Linked DNA regions of Caenorhabditis elegans. The protein of the gene in region 1 purifies or fractionates together with the protein of each later gene. This does not show direct contact. Each region holds a gene or a part of one and is shown in the gene's direction. Other genes may lie near its edges.

What was found.
Region 2: the proteins of pept-1 (region 1) and C25H3.14 fractionate together in Caenorhabditis elegans (co-fractionation; one large-scale study listed by BioGRID). This does not show direct contact.

What each region holds. Positions count from the first base shown.
Region 1 is NC_003284.9:6,455,159-6,462,377, forward strand, and holds pept-1 (Peptide transporter family 1), read left to right. Parts: upstream 1-1,713; 5' UTR 1,714-1,874; coding exon 1,875-1,917; intron 1,918-2,545; coding exon 2,546-2,701; intron 2,702-3,127; coding exon 3,128-3,269; intron 3,270-3,312; coding exon 3,313-3,402; intron 3,403-3,615; coding exon 3,616-3,806; intron 3,807-3,853; coding exon 3,854-3,931; intron 3,932-3,978; coding exon 3,979-4,061; intron 4,062-4,119; coding exon 4,120-4,375; intron 4,376-4,624; coding exon 4,625-4,769; intron 4,770-4,823; coding exon 4,824-4,905; intron 4,906-4,950; coding exon 4,951-5,073; intron 5,074-5,254; coding exon 5,255-5,520; intron 5,521-5,571; coding exon 5,572-6,091; intron 6,092-6,150; coding exon 6,151-6,483; 3' UTR 6,484-6,609; downstream 6,610-7,219. Other genes in the region: K04E7.1 (Serpentine Receptor, class BC (Class B-like)), read left to right, coding at 6,871-6,985. UniProt on the Caenorhabditis elegans protein: Low-affinity peptide transporter that is necessary for proton-dependent uptake of di- or tripeptides, and to a minor extent tetrapeptides, in the intestine. Transport is independent of sodium and chloride ions.
Region 2 is NC_003280.10:5,693,561-5,696,886, forward strand, and holds C25H3.14 (Acyl-coenzyme A thioesterase 13), read left to right. Parts: upstream 1-1,822; 5' UTR 1,823-1,833; coding exon 1,834-2,108; intron 2,109-2,486; coding exon 2,487-2,571; intron 2,572-2,626; coding exon 2,627-2,698; 3' UTR 2,699-2,798; downstream 2,799-3,326. Other genes in the region: eif-2D (SUI1 domain-containing protein), read left to right, coding at 29-202; C25H3.3 (Acyl-coenzyme A thioesterase 13), read left to right, coding at 646-920, 966-1,050, 1,093-1,179; C25H3.10 (F-box domain-containing protein), read right to left, coding at 3,134-3,326.

The sequences.
Region 1 (7,219 bases):
CCAAGTTTAATCAAAATGAAAGACCAAGTAAAAAAATTTACAGCATGAACTAGTTCAGGGTTTAATCGGTAATAACAACACAAATTTGGTACGCGGGAAGACCTGTAAGGTGTTTGCATCGTTTTGTCTCATTCGGCCAATCAAATATAAAGGTCGTAGAAGTTTTAATTGGGGGAATCTTTGAGAGTGAAAAGAAGATGAAATTACGCGTGGCCTCAAAAAGTTTTTTTTTGATGGCAAGATGATTGGTGAACACAAACATTTGACTATCAGTGGATGTTACTTTGAAATATTATAAAAACTCAGCAAATGGCAATTTTCAAGATCATACCATGCAGAAGATCAAGACAGAAATCTGGGGATGAATCAGACAAAGTCGCCGAATTGATCCAAATTATGTTTCGCTGAACTTCAACTATTTTTTCTTGTGTTCTTAATCAGGGTTCCCAGAAAAATGATGGTCTAGACTCACGTACTAAGTTTATAGCATTCAAGTTTTGCATGTGTATTGTAGAAATAGACTTCTAACGTTTTAATGATAGACTACAAAAAAGGGTGGAAAATCTGGATATGGGTACTGTGTTAATAATCAACGTATTATTATTACTGTAGCTTTTGTCAATTCTACACTTTGCCTATCTACACATTGTATCTACACATCTACACATTGCAATTGCTTGCAAACGCCTTTTCATAAAACTGAAACGCAATTTTTTGTTAAAATTAAAAAAATTCTTAGGAAATATAGCAAATTCCTTGAAAGGTAAACACGTATTACTTGAAAATATTTCATTAATTGACACCAAACATTACATATGGATTATTGTCGTCAGTGGAAATTTTGTCCGAAAATTTTTATTGCAATCCAGATCATCATAAAACAGTCTAAATTTTCAAAGTTTTTTTTGAAAAAAAAATCATTAAACGTATGTTATCAAGTTTATACATAGTTTAGGCTCCTTGATAAATTAAGAGTAGTGTCGCTGTACAATGTTCCAGTACAAGTGTATAAGATTTAATTAGAATATTATTTTTTTAAATTTCTATTATTTTTCAAATCGACTACCAATTTTATGTGAGCAAAGCTGATTAATCACAACTTTTTGGCTGCAAATGAAAATACTTCAAAATTTATTTATTTAACATTATAGAAGTGGTTCCATACATTTTAACTACATTCGCTACTCACCATTTATGGTGCCTTGTTTTAAAAACACTCATTAACCCGTTTTCATATGTATTTTCAGCGTCTCGTTATGTTTACTGTGTGTTATAATTAACAATTCAATTTTTTGAATGGTGTTGTAAGATTTTAAAGATTTTGAACAAGAAAACAGAATAACCTTCCCCTAAATCATTTTTCATCATAAATCACGCCGACATGATATTCAGTCGGCTCATATCACCATTTTACACCCTTTTCAACTTTGTGCCTTTCTTGTCATGCTTTTCTCTTTACCCTCCACTCAATTTTTCTTTTTCTCTTCAGAAACAGTACATCTTAATAGGTGATAACATTGAATTACAGACAACCCGCATCAAAACTTGGTCTCCAACAGTGACACGTACTCTCATTCCTTTGCTCGCCTTCTGCGCTATCCGATTAGTGGAGCATGTAATGTACGAAAACGCTTACAAGAGGTGGTGGAAAAAGAAAGTGGAAATGATAAAATTTATGAGTGAAATATTTAAGCGAGTAGGAGAAGCACTATTAAGAACAGTGCGGTTCAACTTGATAAAGAGACGCAGCAAGAAATTGGTGAGGACACAGTCATCGAGCCAACGCACCTATTGCCCACCTCCATACTCCTCCTTCTTCTTCATTTCTTGCCTCAAATACCGCGACAGGCTCATTCCTCGTCAGTATCGCCACTATGGGCTACTCGGAGAGTCGCTCGGAGAGCGTTAGCTCGAAAGGTAACTGATTCATCATATAAAAGTTCAATAAAGCATAATACATTTATTAAGACGGTTAAGCCTGAATATTATACCACCCATGTAGTTTAATTTTTAAGATATTGTAACATTACACAGTATTTGAATGTTTTAATAGTTTGTTCAATTGTATTTCTCTCGAAATATGATTCGCATGTGGTCAATCATCCAGTCGCAGATTTTAAAGATCCACTTTCCAGTTAAGGCTGGGGTACCCCTCACGTTTTATACTCGTGACCCCTAGTTGCTAGCGACTACCATTAACAACTGGGCTCCTGTTGAAAACTGTAATCCAATAATTTTGTATTACTTATGAGTAACAAGAACCCTCAACTAATAAATCTAATATTAATGCAGATTTTGCAACACACTGTACGGAACAAAATAACTTACCTCCAGCATACCGAAACATCATTTCCAGATTGTTTTATTGTTTTGTAAAATACAATTCTTCTTAACAGCCGCTAAAACTAGTGATAATGGCATTTATCTAAAATTAGATGGATTATAACTAATCTTGCCGCGTGGGAAATTTTATCTATCAAAAAAAAAGGCGACAAGAGTAAATTTCAGAGTTTTTGATCGAAAATCGACAGAACGAGTTTTTCAGGCAAAACATCATACGGCCATGAACTCGAAACAGTACCACTACCGGAAAAGAAAATCTACACAACATGGCCTGATATGATCAGGCATTGGCCTAAAACAACACTGTGCATCGTGTCCAACGAATTCTGCGAACGATTCTCATACTATGGAATGAGAAGTGAGTTGCTTTATTTGTTAGGGTAAAAGTGTAAAGGATATAATAGATCCTTTAAACAGCCTTAAACATTTCTGATGTATCAATAATCTACAAAAAATATTTTTATTTGTACATATATTTTTAGTTTAGTTTAAGAGGTAAGGTGAAGAAAAAGTAGAGTTAAACCTTATTTTGATTTTCGGCCGGTGGGTGGACATTTTCAGATAAGGGTATTATCAACATTTACTTTAAGTACATGGTACTCAAAAAGTGAATTTCCTATCTACATGCCAGTATATTTAAAAATCGAAAGTTTTGACACATGAAATGCAAATAAGACATTTTTTCACCGATATCACTAAAAGGTCATAATCCGGTTATTACCATAATGATTATGACGTTGGCAGTACAGAAGATCAATTGAAACGTGACACGAAAAATTTGCAGCGGTCTTGACATTCTACCTGCTTAACGTACTAAAGTTCACCGACTCACAATCTACGATCTTCTTCAATGGATTTACTGTGCTTTGCTATACCACACCACTTCTCGGATCAATTGTTGCGGACGGATACATTGGAAAATTCTGGTATGTAATAATTGTTGTTTTGCACTCAATAACGACTTTTCAGGACAATCTTCTCTGTCTCAATTCTATACGCAATCGGACAAGTCGTGCTCGCTCTCGCTTCTACTAAGAATTTTCAATCTTCAGTTCACCCGTAAGTGATGCTTGTTCCAGTATTCGACGCATAAACTTATCATGCAACTTTTCCGTCTTTACGAATTCCTCTCGATTGAAACAAGGCATGATGATAAGAACTTCAACCGTGGCAACTTTTGCCCGACAGTGCACGCGCCACATTAAACATTAAAAAACTGAAACCGAACAAAATTAAAAAGGGTTCACAAGAAATAAACTGCTGAATTTTCAGATGGATGGATCTGTCTGGATTACTGATCATTGCGTTCGGTACCGGAGGAATCAAGCCATGTGTGTCTGCATTCGGAGGAGATCAATTCGAGTTAGGACAAGAAAGAATGCTCTCACTCTTCTTTTCCATGTTCTACTTTTCCATCAACGCAGGATCTATGATCTCTACTTTCATCTCTCCCATCTTCAGATGTAAACTTGACAATTCTTAAAACACTATTAGAGTACAATAATTTCAGCTCAACCATGCCTTGGACAAGATTCCTGCTACCCAATGGCTTTTGGTATTCCGGCTATTCTTATGATTGTTGCAACACGTGAGATAAAATATTCAAAAATCACATTGACTATTAAACTCTTACAGTGGTATTTATGGGAGGTTCATTTTGGTACAAGAAGAACCCACCAAAGGACAACGTGTTCGGAGAAGTATCTCGTCTTATGTTTGTAAGTTTTTGTTTTGTTTTATTTCTAAACTGCTTTGAAACCAAGATTAAATATTCAGAGAGCTGTTGGAAACAAAATGAAGTCAGGATCCACACCAAAGGAACACTGGCTCCTTCACTACCTTACTACTCACGACTGTGCTCTTGATGCAAAATGCCTCGAACTCCAAGCTGAGAAAAGAAACAAGAATCTGTGCCAAAAGAAAAAATTCATCGATGATGTCCGTTCCCTACTCCGTGTTCTTGTCATGTTCTTGCCAGTACCAATGTTCTGGGCACTTTACGATCAGCAAGGATCTGTCTGGCTCATTCAAGGTTTGTAAAGTTCTAGATAACAATTTAAAAATGATCAAATTGGGGAGTCAGCTGCAGAATTCCTTGTGGTGCACCCACTGGGTTTTAGCTTAAGCTACAATCAAGCCGGGGGGCTAAGTCAGCCGTTGATTAATCTAATTCCCAGCGTTGGCTTAGTGAACCTAGGAGTGCAATTTTGTGATTGCTAGCGACCACCACTACCGACTGAGACATCCCCGCTCTTCACATGTTAAAAATGTGTTTTTTCAGCTATTCAAATGGATTGTCGTCTTTCTGACACCCTTCTCCTTCTTCCGGATCAAATGCAGACATTGAACGCCGTGCTTATTCTTCTCTTTATCCCACTCTTTCAGGTCATCATCTACCCAGTCGCTGCCAAGTGTGTCCGACTTACGTGAGTTTTCATTGAAATAAAATTATTTGTGTATAATGAATTATTATATTTTAGACCTTTGAGAAAAATGGTCACTGGAGGGCTTCTCGCGTCACTTGCCTTTTTGATCACTGGATTTGTTCAACTTCAAGTCAATGTAATTTCAAATAAAATTGTTCCATAATTTATTAATTCTTTACAGACTACTCTTCCAACTCTCCCGGAAGAAGGAGAAGCATCAATTAGTTTCTGGAACCAGTTTGAAACTGATTGCACCATTACCGTTATGTCTGGAATTCACAAGAGAGTTCTTCCCCATGACAAGGTTTGAGATTCGAATTTGATTCTTTTCACTTTTAACTTTCTCCTCCTAAGTTCTAAACGAAAGATCATGCCATTTTAAGTGCTGATAAGAAAAAAGGAAGTCAGAAAAAGTTATCGTAAAATTATTTAATTTATTGCCTTTGTCATGAATTACTATACGTATTTACACAACAACGTTTCAGTATCTTCACGAAGATAAAAAGAACAAGTCTGGAATTTATAATCTTTTTACAACAAAATCCCCCGCAAAAGGTAATGGCGATTGGACTCTCACATATGACCTCAGCTATGACGGCGCTTGCGGAGATACATCAAAATTGGAGAAAACTGTTAAAGTGACTGCCAAGAGCAAGAAGATCATCTACGTTGGAGTCGGATCATTTGGATATTACCAAAACACAGCTAACACTGATAAGCCAACTGATGGAACTGGAGAATTCTCTATGGGGTAGGGGTGTTCATAACACGGAACAATGGTTAAATAATATATAAATTCCAGAATTGTCACTGTATTCAATTCTTCATACGGAGGAAACTTTGCCATGTGCCGTCAAAATACAAGCGACTTTGATGTTAACCATCCATGTAATCCAAGACATCCTGCTGACTTTTACTTCTGGGAAACCGATTATAATAGTCATACCGATGACAGAGATCAAAACGCTACAATTACTGGATCTCTTAGTTCCCAACCGGCTGTAACTTACAAGCAGAAATCTGTAAAGCCAGGATATTGGCAGTTGTACTACCTTTTGAATACACCAAAAGATGTAGACCGGCAGACTTACAACAAAACAGCAACACTCGTTGCTCCAACAAATTACGGTTTTCACAGAGTTAAGCAGGGAGGTGTGTTCATCTATGCATTGACCGGAACATACGAAAATCCAAAGATCCACGAGCTTCAAATTGTACAGTCCAATAGTGTGTCGATTCTTTGGCAGATTCCACAAATCGTTGTCATCACGGCAGCAGAAATTTTGTTCTCAATTACCGGATACGAATTTGCATATTCTCAGGTAATGTTAATAGTTAAAATTTATAATTTATAATGCTATTCTAACTGTAAATATTACAGTCTGCCCCATCAATGAAAGCTCTGGTACAAGCCCTCTGGCTCTTGACCACTGCTGCTGGAGATTCCATCATTGTAGTCATCACAATCCTTAACTTATTTGAAAATATGGCCGTCGAATTCTTTGTCTATGCTGCTGCGATGTTTGTAGTTATTGCCATCTTTGCTCTTCTCTCCATTTTCTATTATACTTACAATTATTATACAACTGATGAAGAGGACGGTGAAATTGGAGTTGATGATGAGGAAGAAATTGAGGATCACAATCCACGATATTCAATTGATAACAAAGGTTTCCATCCGGACGAAAAAGATACTTTCGATATGCATTTTTAATTAAATCCTAATATGTATAAATTTTCAATTTTGTTTTCCTAAACCTACTACTGTTGCTTTCCCTTATTGTGACATCGTGATAAAATTCGTTTTCACTTGAAAAAATAAATATTTCTAAAAACTTTGTTCATGTCCACTCTCACAACAACAGCCGAACTGCATCTTGATTCTGTCGTTTTGCGACCAAACACATTTCTTATTCCATTGCAAAAGTCTCTGAACTCAAAAATAGGAGCCAAATTTGAAAGTTGGCATGCGACGACCGGATGAGTATATCCGGTCTAAAGCTTTGTAAGCTAGTGGAGGACGGACAATAGCTTGTTGCCGGGGGCTCTCTCATTATCTGCTTTTTTTTGGATTTGCTCACGACACACTGGGCGACTAAATATGACGGATGAATTAACATCACCTTCTCTCAAATCTGGAAATGTTCTGGCTCTACTTAACACACTTTACACTTCCGGATTTGCAATGGCGTCCTCCAGCACTCCATTGCTCAAAGGTTTGACTCTTGGGCAAATAATTTTTTGTCATTTTAATTTTTTCACTTATAGGCAGAGTAGCAAGTTTTATTATCACGGTAATAGTCTTCAAACATTTTAATTAATCAATTAAATTTGATGAATTAAAACATTTCAGGGCGTTTTAAAATTTCGAAAAATTATGGCCGAGTTTAGCTAAATTTCACAATTCCTTGTATAAAAAAAATGCCTACTGAATAACCTGCAGATGCAAA
Region 2 (3,326 bases), on another chromosome or scaffold:
CCTTAAATACTAATTTCTGAATTTTCAGACTGGTGTGGCTACTAGTGTTACAAGTCAATGGGAAGTTCCTGGCGTCGAAGGTCCTCAAGTACTCGTTCAAGGAAATCAAATTCATTTTATCGCTGATCTTCTGATAAAATCGTATGGAATCGACAAGAAATTTATGAAAGGAACCGAGTTGGCGGTGAAAAAGAAGAAATAAGAAAATTTGGAGAAATTTGCAAATTCAAATAGTATTAAATCTGTTCAATGTATTCCCTCACACCTTAATTTTTTTGTTTTGAAATTCGGTCTTTCTTTATTTATTAAATACCCGTGTGTTTCTAAGTATGGGTTGTATTCGTATTTTCGGTTCCATAAAGATTCATGAAGAACTTTCTCTTATCGTTTTGAACATATCCGCTTGGTGAATTATCAGTGCCAATTTAAATATTACACATACGCGAACATTTTCGATTTTCGGGCAGAAAAAAAAGGTATTAGGTCTCGCCACGCTTTTTTTGTGAGATAAAAACGAGGGTGTGCCTTTAAAGAGTACTGTAAGTGTCGAGACCTGGTGCCGCATTTTGGACCCAAGATTTCGCGTCTGGGGGATAAATTGTTCTAAATTTTTAAGATGTTAATCCATTTTCAGATTAAATCAAAATGCCTTCAAAATACATGCAATTGGCGAAGGAAATCATCAAAAATTATGGAACCAAGGGTCAATTCGGATGTGTTTCCGGAGCAGGAAATGTGAGAGCAGTTCATGCGGAGGAAGGAAATCTACGAGTGGAATTTGAAGTTGAGAAAGATCAGTCAAACCATTTTAACACTCTTCACGGTGGATGTACATCTACGCTCATTGATATTTTCACTACTGGGGCTCTTCTTCTCACAAAACCAGCTAGGCCAGGAGTATCTGTTGATTTGCATGTTACGTACGTAAAGAGAGAAGAAAATTGTCGAATTTGATAGATTTTTAGATACCTGACCGCCGCTAAAATTGGTGAGACCCTTGTGCTCGACTCCACCGTCATCAAACAAGGAAAAACTCTTGCATTCACAAAGGTAAACTTTAAGAAAAGTTTTAAAAATATTATTTTTTTCCAGGCAGAACTCTACCGTAAAAGTGATAATGTAATGATTGCAACTGGAGTACATACCAAAGCATTCCCAACTGTGAAGAAAGCAAACTAATCAATATATTCCAAGACATGGAAATTTGCGATCCGTGCGCCAAAAATACGGTATCCGGTCTCGACACAAAATGTTTTGGTTAAATGAAAAAAGGTGTGCTTCTTTGATGAGTACTGTAATTTTAGACTCTCGTTGTTGTTGAAATTTCATTGATTTTTCAACAATTTCCCATCAATTTTCGATAAAAAAAACATTTATTAATTTATTTTAAAACTCCCATACATCAATTAAAACTTTTTTTTTTCAGAAAATCGCGAAAAAAAATCAAGAGTTGGAATTTCCAGTAAACTTTAATGGCGCACACACCTTTTCCCGTTATAAAAAAAGTTTTCGTGTCGAGACCGGCTACCGTGATTTCTGCCCAAAAATCGCAAAATTTCGTGTCTGGAATACCTCCTAAACATAATTCCTAGACACAATTTCTAATTTGATCGTTTTGAAAAACATTTCCCTTGTGTACAAAACTATTATTCCGCAATAAAATTGTAAAGAATTCTTGTTTTTTTTCCAATTTTCCATAAATACTCGTTTTAATCCGAGTACTCTGTACATGTTTTGATGGTAAGAGAATCCACGCAAGTCTACGTGGTTATGAGATTTTTGTTTTGAAACAAATATTTTTAAATCATATATTTTTTCTAAGATTGCTTGAAAATGGCATCAAAATACATGCAAATTGCGAAGGAAGTGATCAAAATGTTCGGGACAAAAGGACAATTCGGTTATGCGGCTGGAGCACGGAATGTGAGAGCAGTTCATGCGGAGGAAGGAAATCTACGAGTGGAATTCGAAGTTGAAAAGGATCAGACAAATCAATTCGAGACACTTCATGGTGGATGTACAGCAGCACTTATCGATTGTTTCACAACTGGTGCTCTTCTACTCACAAAGGAAGCGAGGCCTGGTGTTTCAGTGGATTTGCATATTACGTGAGTATCTATATCTAAATAGAGGTTTCCTAGATTATGCAATGATTTGAAACATATAAGTCTTGCGAACAAGTGCAATATTTAAGCCAAAATTCAGTGTGGGGTCCCACCACGACCGAAATGTTCTCAGCTACGGTACCAACGAACTTTTTCTAATGTTTTCTAATTTTTCCATTCCAACCTTTAATTTAAAACTACAGATTTATTGCAAAACCAACAAAAAAGAGAAATCTACCGTACTCACGAGTACGGTAACTGAAAAGTTTCGCTCATTCTAGTACCCCCATACCTATATTTTAGCTTTATAATCGTTCATTTTCGTAAACTAATAATGCCAGAAATTCAGGAGAAAATATTTATGATCATCGTAACTTCCAGATACTTGACAGCTGCAAACATCGGAGAAACTCTTGTACTCAACTCTACTGTCATCAAACAGGGGCGCTCTCTTGGATTCACTAAGGTATCATATTTTTTTATTCTTGAATATTTCTGATTACAAAAGTGTTTTATTTCAGGCAGAACTCTATCGTAAAAGGGACAATGCAATGATTGCTACTGGAGTCCACACCAAGGCGTTCCCAAAGTGATCGCTCACCATAAAATAAATAATGTTATATGCAAATTAAACTAGAATTATTTTACCATGTATTCCATTTCATTTCAGAAAATAAATATCTTTATCAATATATGTGTTTGTTTGCCATTAAAAAACACAAATATCGGAAGTGAGAGATCATTTGTTGTAAGGATAATGTGTTTTAAAGGCTCCGTATCACACGCCAACGCTCTGAGTTGATGCTCAGTGAAATACCAAAAGTGACGAAGAAGCTCAAAATTCATATTTTTTGGATGCAAATCATAGAAAGAAGTCTTATAAAAAATTCCATTAAAAAATTCCGAACATATCTTGCTGCGGTTATGTTGGAGGCAAGAAAAAAAAAAGAAATCATAATCGCCTTCGATCACTTTTTTTATACACATTGTTTATCATGAAAACTTATTCCAAAACAAGATACCAAAATTCACCACAAATATTCTAAAATTTTCAATTGCCTTATAACCAATGATGGCTGTTTCGAGAAGTTTGTACTTTTGAAGAATCCAATTTCAAGTTCCTCTTTTCCTTCGTCTAGATCCCGAGACACTTTCCACGTCGTTGGTGTTTTCTGGCAACTCTCATTTTTCAGTAAAATCAATAATTCGGGAATTGGAAAA